Linked DNA regions of Sus scrofa. The protein of the gene in region 1 purifies or fractionates together with the protein of each later gene. This does not show direct contact. Links are inferred from orthologs where the notes say so. Each region holds a gene or a part of one and is shown in the gene's direction. Other genes may lie near its edges.

The links.
Region 2: the proteins of CLK2 (region 1) and PSME3 purify together in Homo sapiens (affinity purification with mass spectrometry; 3 studies listed by BioGRID and IntAct, with this or other methods). This does not show direct contact. The link is inferred for Sus scrofa from reciprocal best matches to the Homo sapiens genes CLK2 and PSME3.
Region 3: the proteins of CLK2 (region 1) and ACIN1 purify together in Homo sapiens (affinity purification with mass spectrometry; 3 studies listed by BioGRID and IntAct, counting the BioPlex papers as one, with this or other methods). This does not show direct contact. The link is inferred for Sus scrofa from reciprocal best matches to the Homo sapiens genes CLK2 and ACIN1.

What each region holds. Positions count from the first base shown.
Region 1 is NC_010446.5:94,556,881-94,561,165, forward strand, and holds the start of CLK2 (dual specificity protein kinase CLK2), read left to right. Parts: upstream 1-1,404; 5' UTR 1,405-1,747; exon of another isoform or gene 1,748-3,225; intron 3,226-3,280; exon of another isoform or gene 3,281-3,581; intron 3,582-4,285. Other genes in the region: HCN3 (potassium/sodium hyperpolarization-activated cyclic nucleotide-gated channel 3), read right to left, coding at 683-966. UniProt on the Homo sapiens protein: Dual specificity kinase acting on both serine/threonine and tyrosine-containing substrates. Phosphorylates serine- and arginine-rich (SR) proteins of the spliceosomal complex.
Region 2 is NC_010454.4:20,029,652-20,032,447, reverse strand, and holds the end of PSME3 (proteasome activator complex subunit 3), read left to right. Parts: intron 1-532; coding exon 533-645; intron 646-877; coding exon 878-946; intron 947-1,092; coding exon 1,093-1,160; intron 1,161-1,259; coding exon 1,260-1,314; intron 1,315-1,433; coding exon 1,434-1,520; intron 1,521-2,118; coding exon 2,119-2,199; 3' UTR 2,200-2,251; downstream 2,252-2,796. UniProt on the Homo sapiens protein: Subunit of the 11S REG-gamma (also called PA28-gamma) proteasome regulator, a doughnut-shaped homoheptamer which associates with the proteasome. 11S REG-gamma activates the trypsin-like catalytic subunit of the proteasome but inhibits the chymotrypsin-like and postglutamyl-preferring (PGPH) subunits.
Region 3 is NC_010449.5:75,978,564-75,982,209, forward strand, and holds part of ACIN1 (apoptotic chromatin condensation inducer in the nucleus), read left to right. Parts: intron 1-790; coding exon 791-932; exon of another isoform or gene 933-3,646.

The sequences.
Region 1 (4,285 bases):
AGGTACAGCCTGATGGGGACTGTGGAATAGCCCCACCCCCTCTCTTCGTCCCTTCTCTCTGGTGGTCACCTGGGCGGTGGCCGTGCTCCTGCGTGGCTGCCTCAAATCACTTTTGAGTCTCGGCCCTGCCCGGCCGAATTCCTCCTTCAGCACCAGGGACAGCGATCAGAGCTGTTGTCTGGACACCCCCTCCCCCACCCCCAGCGTCCCTATTTTCCCTGGTCGCCTGCCCTGCTGAACTAGGCAGGTGCTGGGGACGGGAATGGGGTCGGTGGGAGATAGCAGAGTTCGGTTTCTCCCTCAGATTGACCCTGAGCCTTGAAATATGATAAAATTTCCCAGATCCCCAGCAAGCAGGACTGGAGGAGGCAGCGGTCCCTAGTTCCTGTATTCCCTGTGGTCCAGGTGGGGTGCCGGGTTCCTGAAATGGGAAATCCAGGTCTCTGTTAATCTGCTTGTCCCTTCCAGCGCCCCCAGCCTAAGAAGTCAGCCAGGATCTCCAGCTGGGGACCCTTTGCCCAAGAATTCCCGGGCTAGGTTGGGGGAAGTGACTGTCGGCCCCCCAAGGGACCCCTGGGCCGGAAATGAAGTGTCTGTGGAGGGTGGGGCTGGCCCGGCCCCGTGCCCCGGCCCGTGGAGGTAGGACCTGTGTCCCCCGCCCTCCCTGCCGGACCCTCAGTACCGGAAGTCGCTGTAGGGATGGATGATCCAGGCCCCCGCTGACTTGACCCGCTCCTGCTCGATTTCCACTGCTTTGTGGCTGCCGAACACACGAAGGGAGAACTTGTTGACCGTAGGCTGGAGCAGCGTCCCGAGCTGCCTCCTCTTGGGCTCAGGCCCGGGCCCGGACCCAGGGATCGGACCGGAGGCCGTGGTCGTAGACGCCGGGGCAGCAGGAGGCGCCGCCTCCAGTCCAGGGGTCGCCCCGTCGCTGGTCCCAGTCGGCGGCCGCTGCTCCGCCTCCATGACGCCTGTCGGCCTACACGTTTGGCCTCCTATACCCTGCCGCGGCCATTCGGGACCCCCGACCCTTTCCGGAGTCGGAGCGGGAGCAGCCGGGCTGGCTCTGAGCGGAGGCGTAGTCGGCTAGGAACTGCCGGCGCGCCGGCGGAGGGGGTGTGTGCGACAGACTCTGCCGCGGGTGGCAGGGGGGTTGCGCTGCGCCCCCTGGCGAGAGTTGCGGGAAGGCTGGGCAGGGCGGGCGGAGGTGGGGCCACCGAGAGACCTCCCGGGAGGGGGCGGAGCCAATAAAGCCTGTAACCGGAGGGATACCGAGGTGGGTGTGGCTTAGCCAATGTGGGCGGTCCCTCAGGTGCAGGGAGCGTAGGAGAACGCGGCCAGTGCCAAGAGGGCGTGGCCTAGAGCTGCGGTGCCTTTGACCACGGAGTGCCGGGGAGGCGGAGCCGCCTGAGATCCGCGGGAAAACCGGACGCCGGTTGTAGTTCGTATGGCTCCGGAGGGCGAGGAATTGGGAACCAATGGAAGAGGCAGGGATTCTTTGGGGATTCTCCTTCCTAACGCTTACGGACTTCCTGCATTTCACTTTTTTTTTTCTCTCAGCACTCTCCTAGGCATATTCTTAAGGATCTCCTCGTTACTGCTCCCCCGAGTATTTCATTTCTGAATTCATCTGCCACCTTCACCACAAGCAACTCGGCCCATCACTGAGCGACCGCTGAGGATACAAGGATGAATACAAAGCCCTAGCCATAAAGGCACTGCTCGTCTACGCCCGCAAACAGAACAGGTAAATTACAGTAGTATGTGAAGTAAATTCTTCCCTTTATCTCCATTTCTTATTGCCTCCGACTTATTTCAAGCCCTCAGCATTTTTTCACCCAGATTATTTCAGAAGCGTCTAAATAGGTCTCTCAACTCTCAGGCCAATTCTCCTTCCAGAGTTAACTTCCTAAATCTAAATGTAGCTATCTCACTTGCTTAATATCCTTCAAACTTCTTAGTGTTCTATAGGATTACGGTTAAATTCCTTAGAATGACAACACAAGGCCCTGCAAAATTTAGACCTCTCTTTTCAACAACCTCCCTTCTGATAGTCCCTCTCTTGAAAGCCAGGACTCCAATTCTGTTTAAACACTTCATTTTGCTTTGTCTCCAGACTTTTGTAAATACTTTCTCTGCCTAGCACTCTCCTCCAATTCACTTTCCATCCATTGGTTCAGATGTCATCTCCTCTAGGAAACCTAGAAACACATTTATAACTCTCCTTTCCCAAGCTAGGGTTGTAGTCTAGAGCTTTCTTACAGTGGCCAGGGCACCACTGTTCATAACAGCTCTTAGCACAAGGCTGCCATTATTTGTTTACAGGTCTTTCCCATTATACTATGAAGCTCTGAAGAACAGGAGCCTTGAGCCTGGCACAGTGCTGGACAGAGTAGGAACTTAATAAATGCTTTTTGAATGAACGAGGGAAAGTGTACACGGAGAAGGAAGTGAGGTTCACTTTCCTCTCCACCCCTTCATTACCCTTCAGCTTCTATTTCAAGAAACTTTTCCTAAACCATTTCTGGCCAACTGATGAAAAATTCCTTCTGACTATCCTCCACCCTGACTCCTCTCTGTTTCTTTACTTGAATATAGTTATCCTCAGGTTATTTTTCATTTTCCTAATTACTGCTCAATTCCTTCTATAACATCTGTAACTCTACCCAGTTTTTCTCGTCTTCTGCTTTTTTTTTTTAATTCACCAAATTTAGACTTATCATATATTATGTGTAGGTATATAACAAAGTTCTCAAGTGATTTCCCCTTCTTTGGCACCTGAATCTCCACCCCTCCATTTCTCAAACCTTTCCTCCAAAGCCATTACCCCCCTCCCCCATATACAGAACGTGCACCAGCTTTTGTTCAGGACAAAAGATGGGAACCCCTCTTTGCTGTGGTTTGGTAGGCGAACTGTTTCAAAAACAGGCTATGATGGAGACTCACACCTCACCACCAGGCTTCAAAAGGTTTGCGGAGCGATGACATTCCGTAAACCACAACCCCTTCCTTTCAACCTCCAAACCTAACAAAGCAAGCCACATAAGTCCCACGAAAAGGGTCAAAGATTGAGGAAGGATACGGAAGAACACCAGGCGAGGCAGCGCGAGCCCAATAAACCGCTTCCACTCTCTCCCCGCCCCCATGAGCTTCCGCCCCCAGCACCTCCTCGGCTCTCACCGGACAGCAGAGAGCTACGCTAAGACGCGAAGGCGTGCGCGGTCCTGGGGGGCGGAGCCTAGGGGTAGCTGGGAATCGACGCAGGACGTGCGTGCGTGCGTACGTGCTCGCTCGCGGTGGCGGCGGCGGCGGATCGGGGAGGCCAGAGCCGGAGACCGAGCTGGGATCGGGCCCCGGGCGGGGGCGGTGCGAGCGGCGCCAAGCGGATCCTGGGGGCGGGCACGGAGCCGGGGCGGGCGGGACTGGAACGGAGCCCGGGAACGAGGCGGGAGGTCCAGGGTCTCGGGTTGGGGGGGTGGAGCCGCACTTCGTCGCCGCGGGGGTGCCGGGACTCCGGCCGCAGTGCCGCCGCCATCACGGACTTCCTGTGGGACAAGCGCACGGGCCTCGCCGCCAGAACGGTGAGCGCGCGGGCTGGCGGGCCGCGGGGCCGCGCGGAAAGATGGCGACCGCGGGGCGGACGGGGAGAAGATTGGATTGGGGGCAAGGGACCGGGGCGAGCTTGGGGGGTGGGGTGGGGCTGAGACGTGCGAAGTGGCAGAGGTGAGGAGTAGGAAGATGAGGTGGAATGTCGCCCTGTCTTAGATGCATTGGTAAAGACCAATAGGAAAGTTAGGAGGGACCAAAGTAGGAGAAGGGGTGATGGAGTAAAGATAGGAGTGGTTGCAAAGATGAGAAAGAATAGAAATCTCAAAAGTTGGGCCAAAGCTGGAGAGGTTGGAAGACACCACCATGTCACTTGGAGGCTGTGGAAAGAGTTTGACTCTAGGAGTTAGTTCTGGATTTTCTAAGTGAGAAAGAGAGGAAAAGATTAGAAGTGGAGAAAGATTGTAAGCTGGAGATAGTTGGGGGGGAGGGTTGGAAGGAGGAAAGCCTGTGAGGGACTTTGGTGGCACTGTGTATGTAGTGAGATGACATGTGCGTGGCTGTGTTAAGCAAGGTTGGGTTATCGGGGAGAATCTTGTACTTGCGTCTTCTTGGCTTCCTGCAAGCCCTTTTACGCCTGGAATGAATCAAATGCCACCCTTCTCTTCAATTTGAGAAGTAGCTCAGAATGGAAGCCAGATGTTGGAATCATTAAGCCTTTTCCACACCTAATCCTACC
Region 2 (2,796 bases), on another chromosome or scaffold:
CTGTGCCAGGACTGGAACTCCGTAATTTTCCATTTAACAGGGAGGGTTGGACTTAATGTGAACTACCAAGGGAGAGGTTGGAGGTGGCTACACATCACAGATTTTTCGCAAAACCCCAGTTCATATCATTTTTTCCTCTTCAATAATGCTTGGTGCGTTAAGTCTGTAGAGCATATTTTAATCTTGTTCTTTAGACTTTCCGGATGTTTTAGACACTCATCTGTTAATCCCCATATTCTCTCTTTTTTTAATTCTGTTGGTGGTGTCACGGTTTATAGATAGCTTTGTGACAGATAAAAGGCAGAAGTCATAAGCTTTTCCTTGTGGCGCAGTGGGTTAAGGATCCGGTATTGTCACTGTTGTGGCTCAGGTCGCTACTGTGGAGCCCAGGATCTTCCACATGCCACAGGCATGGCCAGGAACAAAGGTAGAGGTCATAGTATCTCACGGGTCTAGGAAAGAGAGAAAGGTGGGGAATGCTGCCTCCTTCCACCCAGCTCCAGTCATTTGACCTTCCTCGTGTCCTTGCCAGGAACCAAGGTGTTTGTGATGCCCAATGGGATGCTAAAAAGCAACCAGCAGCTGGTGGACATTATTGAGAAAGTGAAGCCTGAGATTCGGCTGCTGATCGAGAAATGCAACACGGTGAGGCAGGGGCTGATGACCTAGGGGCTGACCCCAAATAGCCTGGCTTGAGCTATGCAAGACAATGGATGTGGGGCCAGAGGCGTGGAGGTGATGTTGGAGTTGGCAGACTAATTATCTTGACTCCTGTGCTCCTGGCATCTGGCCCCAGCAGCATGAGTTGTATATGTCTTGGCTTAAGTAGAAAAGGCTAAGATCCTCATATGCATATTTTGGTCCCCTCACCCTTCAGGTCAAAATGTGGGTACAACTCCTGATTCCTAGGATAGAAGATGGGAACAACTTTGGGGTGTCCATTCAGGTAATGTGCTTGCATTGGAAATGGGAGAGGAAGGTTTGGGAGGTAATCTCATCTCCCCTGCTTTTGTGTTTTCCCTTTCTCTTTGGTTTGCTGTGGGGTGATGTGGAAGTGGCTTTTAACCTTTTTGTTTTGTTTTTTTTTTTCAGGAAGAGACAGTTGCAGAATTAAGAACTGTTGAGAGTGAAGCAGCTTCTTATCTGGACCAGATTTCTAGGTAGGGCTGCTTGGACTTGGCCCAGGAATTGAGGGCTGGTGAGATGGCATGCGCTGTCTGGGGTCCCCTGCAGCTTTCTCCTCTTCTCTCTCCTTCCAGATATTATATTACAAGAGCCAAATTGGTTTCTAAAATAGCTAAATACCCCCATGTGGTAAGTAAGGGTTTGTGGCCGAGGGTGGAAGTGGTAGGACAGGGAGGCATGCCTTCCTGGGAAGAGCTGCGTGGGACAGTCAGCCCTCGAGGACTAGCCTTTTCTCTGCCCTTCGTCAGGAGGACTATCGGCGCACCGTGACAGAGATTGATGAGAAAGAATATATCAGCCTTCGGCTCATCATATCAGAGCTAAGGAATCAGTATGTAAGTAACCTTGGTCCCCGCCCACAGGTGCTCTGGCTTCTCTTGGTTCTGGTGATCGTTTTCTTGCCACTCTCTGGGGGTTGAGATGAGAGATGGAGGTAAAATGAGTGGAACAAATTCCTCCCATCAACCGGGTGTTGAGAACTCTGGGGTCACTGACGGTATCTAGCCGGGTATCCTTTCTTTGTACCTGGCTGGGAGGGAGCACGATATGCAGTACAGTATAGGGGTGAAGCTGGGGGTGTGAGAGTCAGCCTTGGGTTTGGAACCAATTCTGCCTGTAATGTGTGGCCTTGGGCAGGTTTAACCTCAAGCTTCAATTTCTTCATCTCTGACACATTAAAGAACCCGGTGCAATTCTTAGTGTGTTAAATGCTTAGTAAGTGTTAGTTATTGGACACTTGGGGCCTTGGAGATACCCAGGTGTGCCCAGTTGGGGGAATAAGAGAGGTCATAGGGCAGCTACCCTGAATTCAGGTTCAAGCGAGTGAGATCAGGGCTATGTGAACGATTGCTGGGGGCTTTGGGGGTTTGTCTTGTTTCCCTAGGCAGGTGGGGGTAGAACAGACGTGTGATTCCCTGATCCGTCTTCTCCCAGGTCACTCTACATGACATGATCCTGAAAAACATCGAGAAGATCAAACGGCCCCGGAGCAGCAATGCAGAGACACTGTACTGAGGCCAGGGCCAGGGCCAGGGGACTCTGTGAGTCTGGCTCAAGACCGACATTGCCTTGGTTTGTTACATGACTATCGTGATGGGGAAACTGGCTGGAAATAGTAATCACACCTCTCTCTGTTTTTAGTTAGAGTCTAATGAAACTCTCATGTAGTTCTGTGACGTGTTTACCTCTTTTTTCAGGCCTCAGGAACTCTTCTATTTCCTTCCCTCATACCCCAGACCCCCGTCCTAATTTCTGGAGTACTCCAGGTTTGTGTGCGCAGGATGTTGGCACAAGTTTACTTGTGTTTTCTCTCCCCACTTCCCTTCTGTGTCTTGGGCTTTATGTTTTCTTCCCTTTGATGTTCAGTTGGTTAGAAGTTGAGGGAACTTGAAGGAAAGTGCTAGGTATTTTGTAGGAACTGGGGCTGGATGGGGGAACCAGCTTCTCTCTTCCTGATGGCAGGTTAGTATCTCTTGCCTCTGTGGGACATTGGATCCTCCCTGCCACAGTTGCCCTGGTGATGACTTAGGGTTTCCCATCCACATACATGACACCTTGAACCTGATCACGACAAGAAACACCTTAGACCTTCTGCCAAGTCCCTAGCTCCTT
Region 3 (3,646 bases), on another chromosome or scaffold:
CCTGACTGGGAGGCCTGCTCTCTTTATCTTTTGGAAGTTGGAATGAGGGAGTGGGAGAAACTGGGCGAAAGCCGAATGTAAGAACAGTTCCTACACCTCTGAGCAGGTAAAAGTGGTCTGGTTCTTTGAGCTTTCATACTATGTCCGGCAGTTTTCATTTTTCCTTTTGGATTAGAGAGGGTCCTTGTTGAAGCTTACCCCCTCACCAGCCCTGCTCTCCCTGCAGCCCTGCCCCCACCATTTCTCCATTCCTGGTGTGTCCAGATCCCGTTGGTCAGCAGACTTTACTTACTAAGCAGTTGATTAAACACAAGGTTGGGATCATTTGCCACAGCCCTCGTTGTTCTTTCTCGTCTTTTTAAGGAATCGGACTTCCCTTAGTTTCTCATGCAATTTGGTTAAATAAAGGTGCCTGTGGCCAAGGGCTAGGGAGGCCCTGGGGTTGTGGGCAAATCACAGTCACTTCTGAGGGACTGTTTTCGGAGAGATGTGTCTCTCCTCTTCATATAAGGGTACTCTGGCGAATTACCTCAGAACAGTTGGAGTCCCAACCCCACATGCCACAGCTTTATCCCATCTGGGCAGTGAGTGGATGTGGTTGCTGTGATCTGTGCTCTTTCCCTGAGGAAGATGGGGGCAAGGTCTCTAGTCTGATCTGAAAAGCAGCCCTCCCAATCCCACCCAAGTGATGAGGCATGGGAGTTTCCTTGACCTAAAACCTAACGTCTTGTTCTCTCTTCCCCTTGGTTCTTTCCTGCCCTTCCCTCTCAACCTCACCCCATACTGACAGTGAGGAGAAGGAGGAAGTGACCATGGACACAAGTGAAAACAGACCTGAAAATGAGGTTCCAGAGCCCCCCATGCCTATTGCAGACCAAGTCAGCAATGATGACCGCCCAGAGGGCAGTGCAGAGGATGAGGAGAAGAAAGAGGTAAATATTCAAGCCACCTGCTCGGGTGGGTGGGCAGGAGTGGACCTGGGGGAAAGAGTAGACCACTCTGGTGATCCCTCTTACACAGTGGGATAGCTTAAAGAAGGGACTAGGCAAAGACTTGGATCAGGATAGGGCCAAGGGAGAATTCGCTGGTTTAGTAAGGGAGACCCCTTGTGATGGGGACAGGGCTCATTCATTCCCCTTTCCTTGTTGGGAAAGTAATGCAGTGCAGAGTCTTGGAAGTTTGTAATCACTGGGAAAGTTATCTAAAACCCTTTATCTAAAACCCAGGCTCAGCTTTCCCTGCCACCTTTTCTAGCTTCTCCCTGTGTTAACCCCTTTAGCTTTCCCTCCTTTTTAAAAGTGTGTTGGAGCTCAACGCCATCTAGTGGGCTTTGGTGGTTCTCAGCTGACCACCATGCTGAGGAATTTTTGTTCCTCATCTGCCCCCCAGTGGTCTCGTTGCAGAGATGTAGCTACTTAGAAGCCACCACCTGAAGGCCCCTTCCCCATTTTTGTGACCCCTCTACTTTTTGGCGTATGTAGTGTGTCCTGCACCCAATTCAGGGGACTCCCCCCGTCAGAGCCAGCGAAGTCTTCTTGGCTCTTAAAGTAATTAGAGAATGGATTAGCTGGGTTTGGGAGTAGGGTAACAGGGTGGGAGGGACTGTTGTGTGTGTAGCCTTTCTTTGGTGTGTGTTGCGGGGGTGGGGGCCGGTGAAAGTGATTTGATGTGCAGAATATTATTTATTACAAGGTCCTTCTTCCCCGTAAAACTTTGTCCAAGTACCTCATGTACGGTAATCCGCCCGTAAAATATAACCCTGCCCAACTGGCCAATCGCTGATGCCGCCTCTTCCTCTGGACCCACCCGCTGCTACTGAGCTGCCCAGTCAGAGCTGAGTCTGCTATCCAGGTGTCTTGGCCAGAGGGGGGCATGTGTATGGGATCCTGTGATGGGCCCCCTTTTGCCTCCCTGCCTTGCTTACATCAGGGGGCCAAGAAGAGCACTGTTCTGGAGAGACTTGTATTGAGAAAGCAAAAAGCATTTGGAAAGGGGTGGACTTGCATCATCTCCCTCTTTGGGACACCCCAAGAAGAGCTTGTGTCAGTGCTGGGGCGCCTGCTCATATGCCCTTGCCCTTTTGAGGACTGTGGGTTGCCTTGTTTGCTACAGACTGTTGGGATCCCCATCTAGGGCACCAAGACCTCCTAAAGAGTCAATCTTTGTGATCACAGTGCCATGCTGTAAAATACCGAGTGGGGCTCTCGGCTTAAGCTGTGACGACTAGGAACCCTGCAGAGAAGTCTAGGGTCTGAGCCCAGGGATTTAATGCTGATGACAGCCCAGCCATGTATCACCACTTGCTCATCAGATGGACTTTCCTTTGGTCCCTGTTGTCCATGGTGAAGGGCAGCATGTTGGTTGCTCCAGCTTCTCCTCCATCCCTGGAGGCAGGGGCTCATCCATCCACCTGACTGGAACCACTGTCTCAGCTGGAGTCCCTGAGGAGATGCCACACACCACTCTCAGAAGAAAAGTATTGTGACCTTGCTGCTGAATGTGTGCCAGGTCCTGGGGCTATCCACCTACTACCCCAGGCTGCCTTCAACAGCGGCTCCATGATCCCACTCGGTGAGAGGACCCCCTCCCCAAGTTACAGGCAGAGGAGAAAGGGACTCTGGAGTCATCACCTGGATTCCAAGTATTGGGTGGTGGTATTGCTGCAGCTTGCCACTGGTGGACATAGGGTCCTGCCTGCTTCTCACGATAAAAGGCCAGGACCATTCCTGCTACTCAGAGGCCATCTCATCAGGGACTGCAAGATGATGCCCCTACAGGGCCAGGACTGATGTCTCTGCCCCTTTTCCCCCCGTACCCCTCGCTGAGCCTGGCCACCGCCAGTGAACTGTCTTGACATCATGGAAACTGGGCAGCGTCCCCCCACACGTTTCCCTCCCGCCCCCCCTGCGCCCCTGGGAGGACTCTGGCTGTGCCGTGCTGACCACCACGCCGTGCGCCCACCTTTTTTGCCAACCCAACCCCCCACCAATTGCACAGCGCCTAGCAGGGAGGGCTCATTCTGATTGGACCGGCGGTTGACTAGATACAGTACACAGTGAGGTGCGATTGGCTGAACTGAAGATCCCAGGTGTGAGATGGTACCTGGAACATTTGTCATATTCCTAGTTTATTTTCCTCTTTATTTTCTTCTTTCCCTTCTTTTTAAAATCTTTTATTTTAATTTTTTCTTTATCTTTTTTTTCTGATTTCTTTATTGGATTTATTTATTTATTTGGTTCATGTTTTTCCTGTTTTAATTAAAACTTTTTTTTTTTTTTTCTCACTAACTTACCCATCGAGAGCGGCCCAGCTAGGGGTCAGGCTGGCCCTTAACGGAGACCAAGGAGACTTGGTTAGACGACACAAACGGGGCTGGGGGGTGGATGGGAGAAAGGGATTTCATTAAGAGGGTTCCTGCCCTTCCCTTTAGAAGGGTGGTAGGTCTTAGTTTTTCCAGAAATAAGCACTTAAGTCTAAAAATACTTTATTCCTCTTTTTGCTCTGTCTTCCCCTTTTTGCTCTGTCCACAGCCTTTCTCCCACTGAGTATTTGGGGCAGAAACTTGCTCAAAAGCAAGTTTGGAAGATTCTGGTCCTTGGCAGAGTCCCTAAGGCAAAAGCCCTGTTTGGAGAAGAAACAGGCTCTG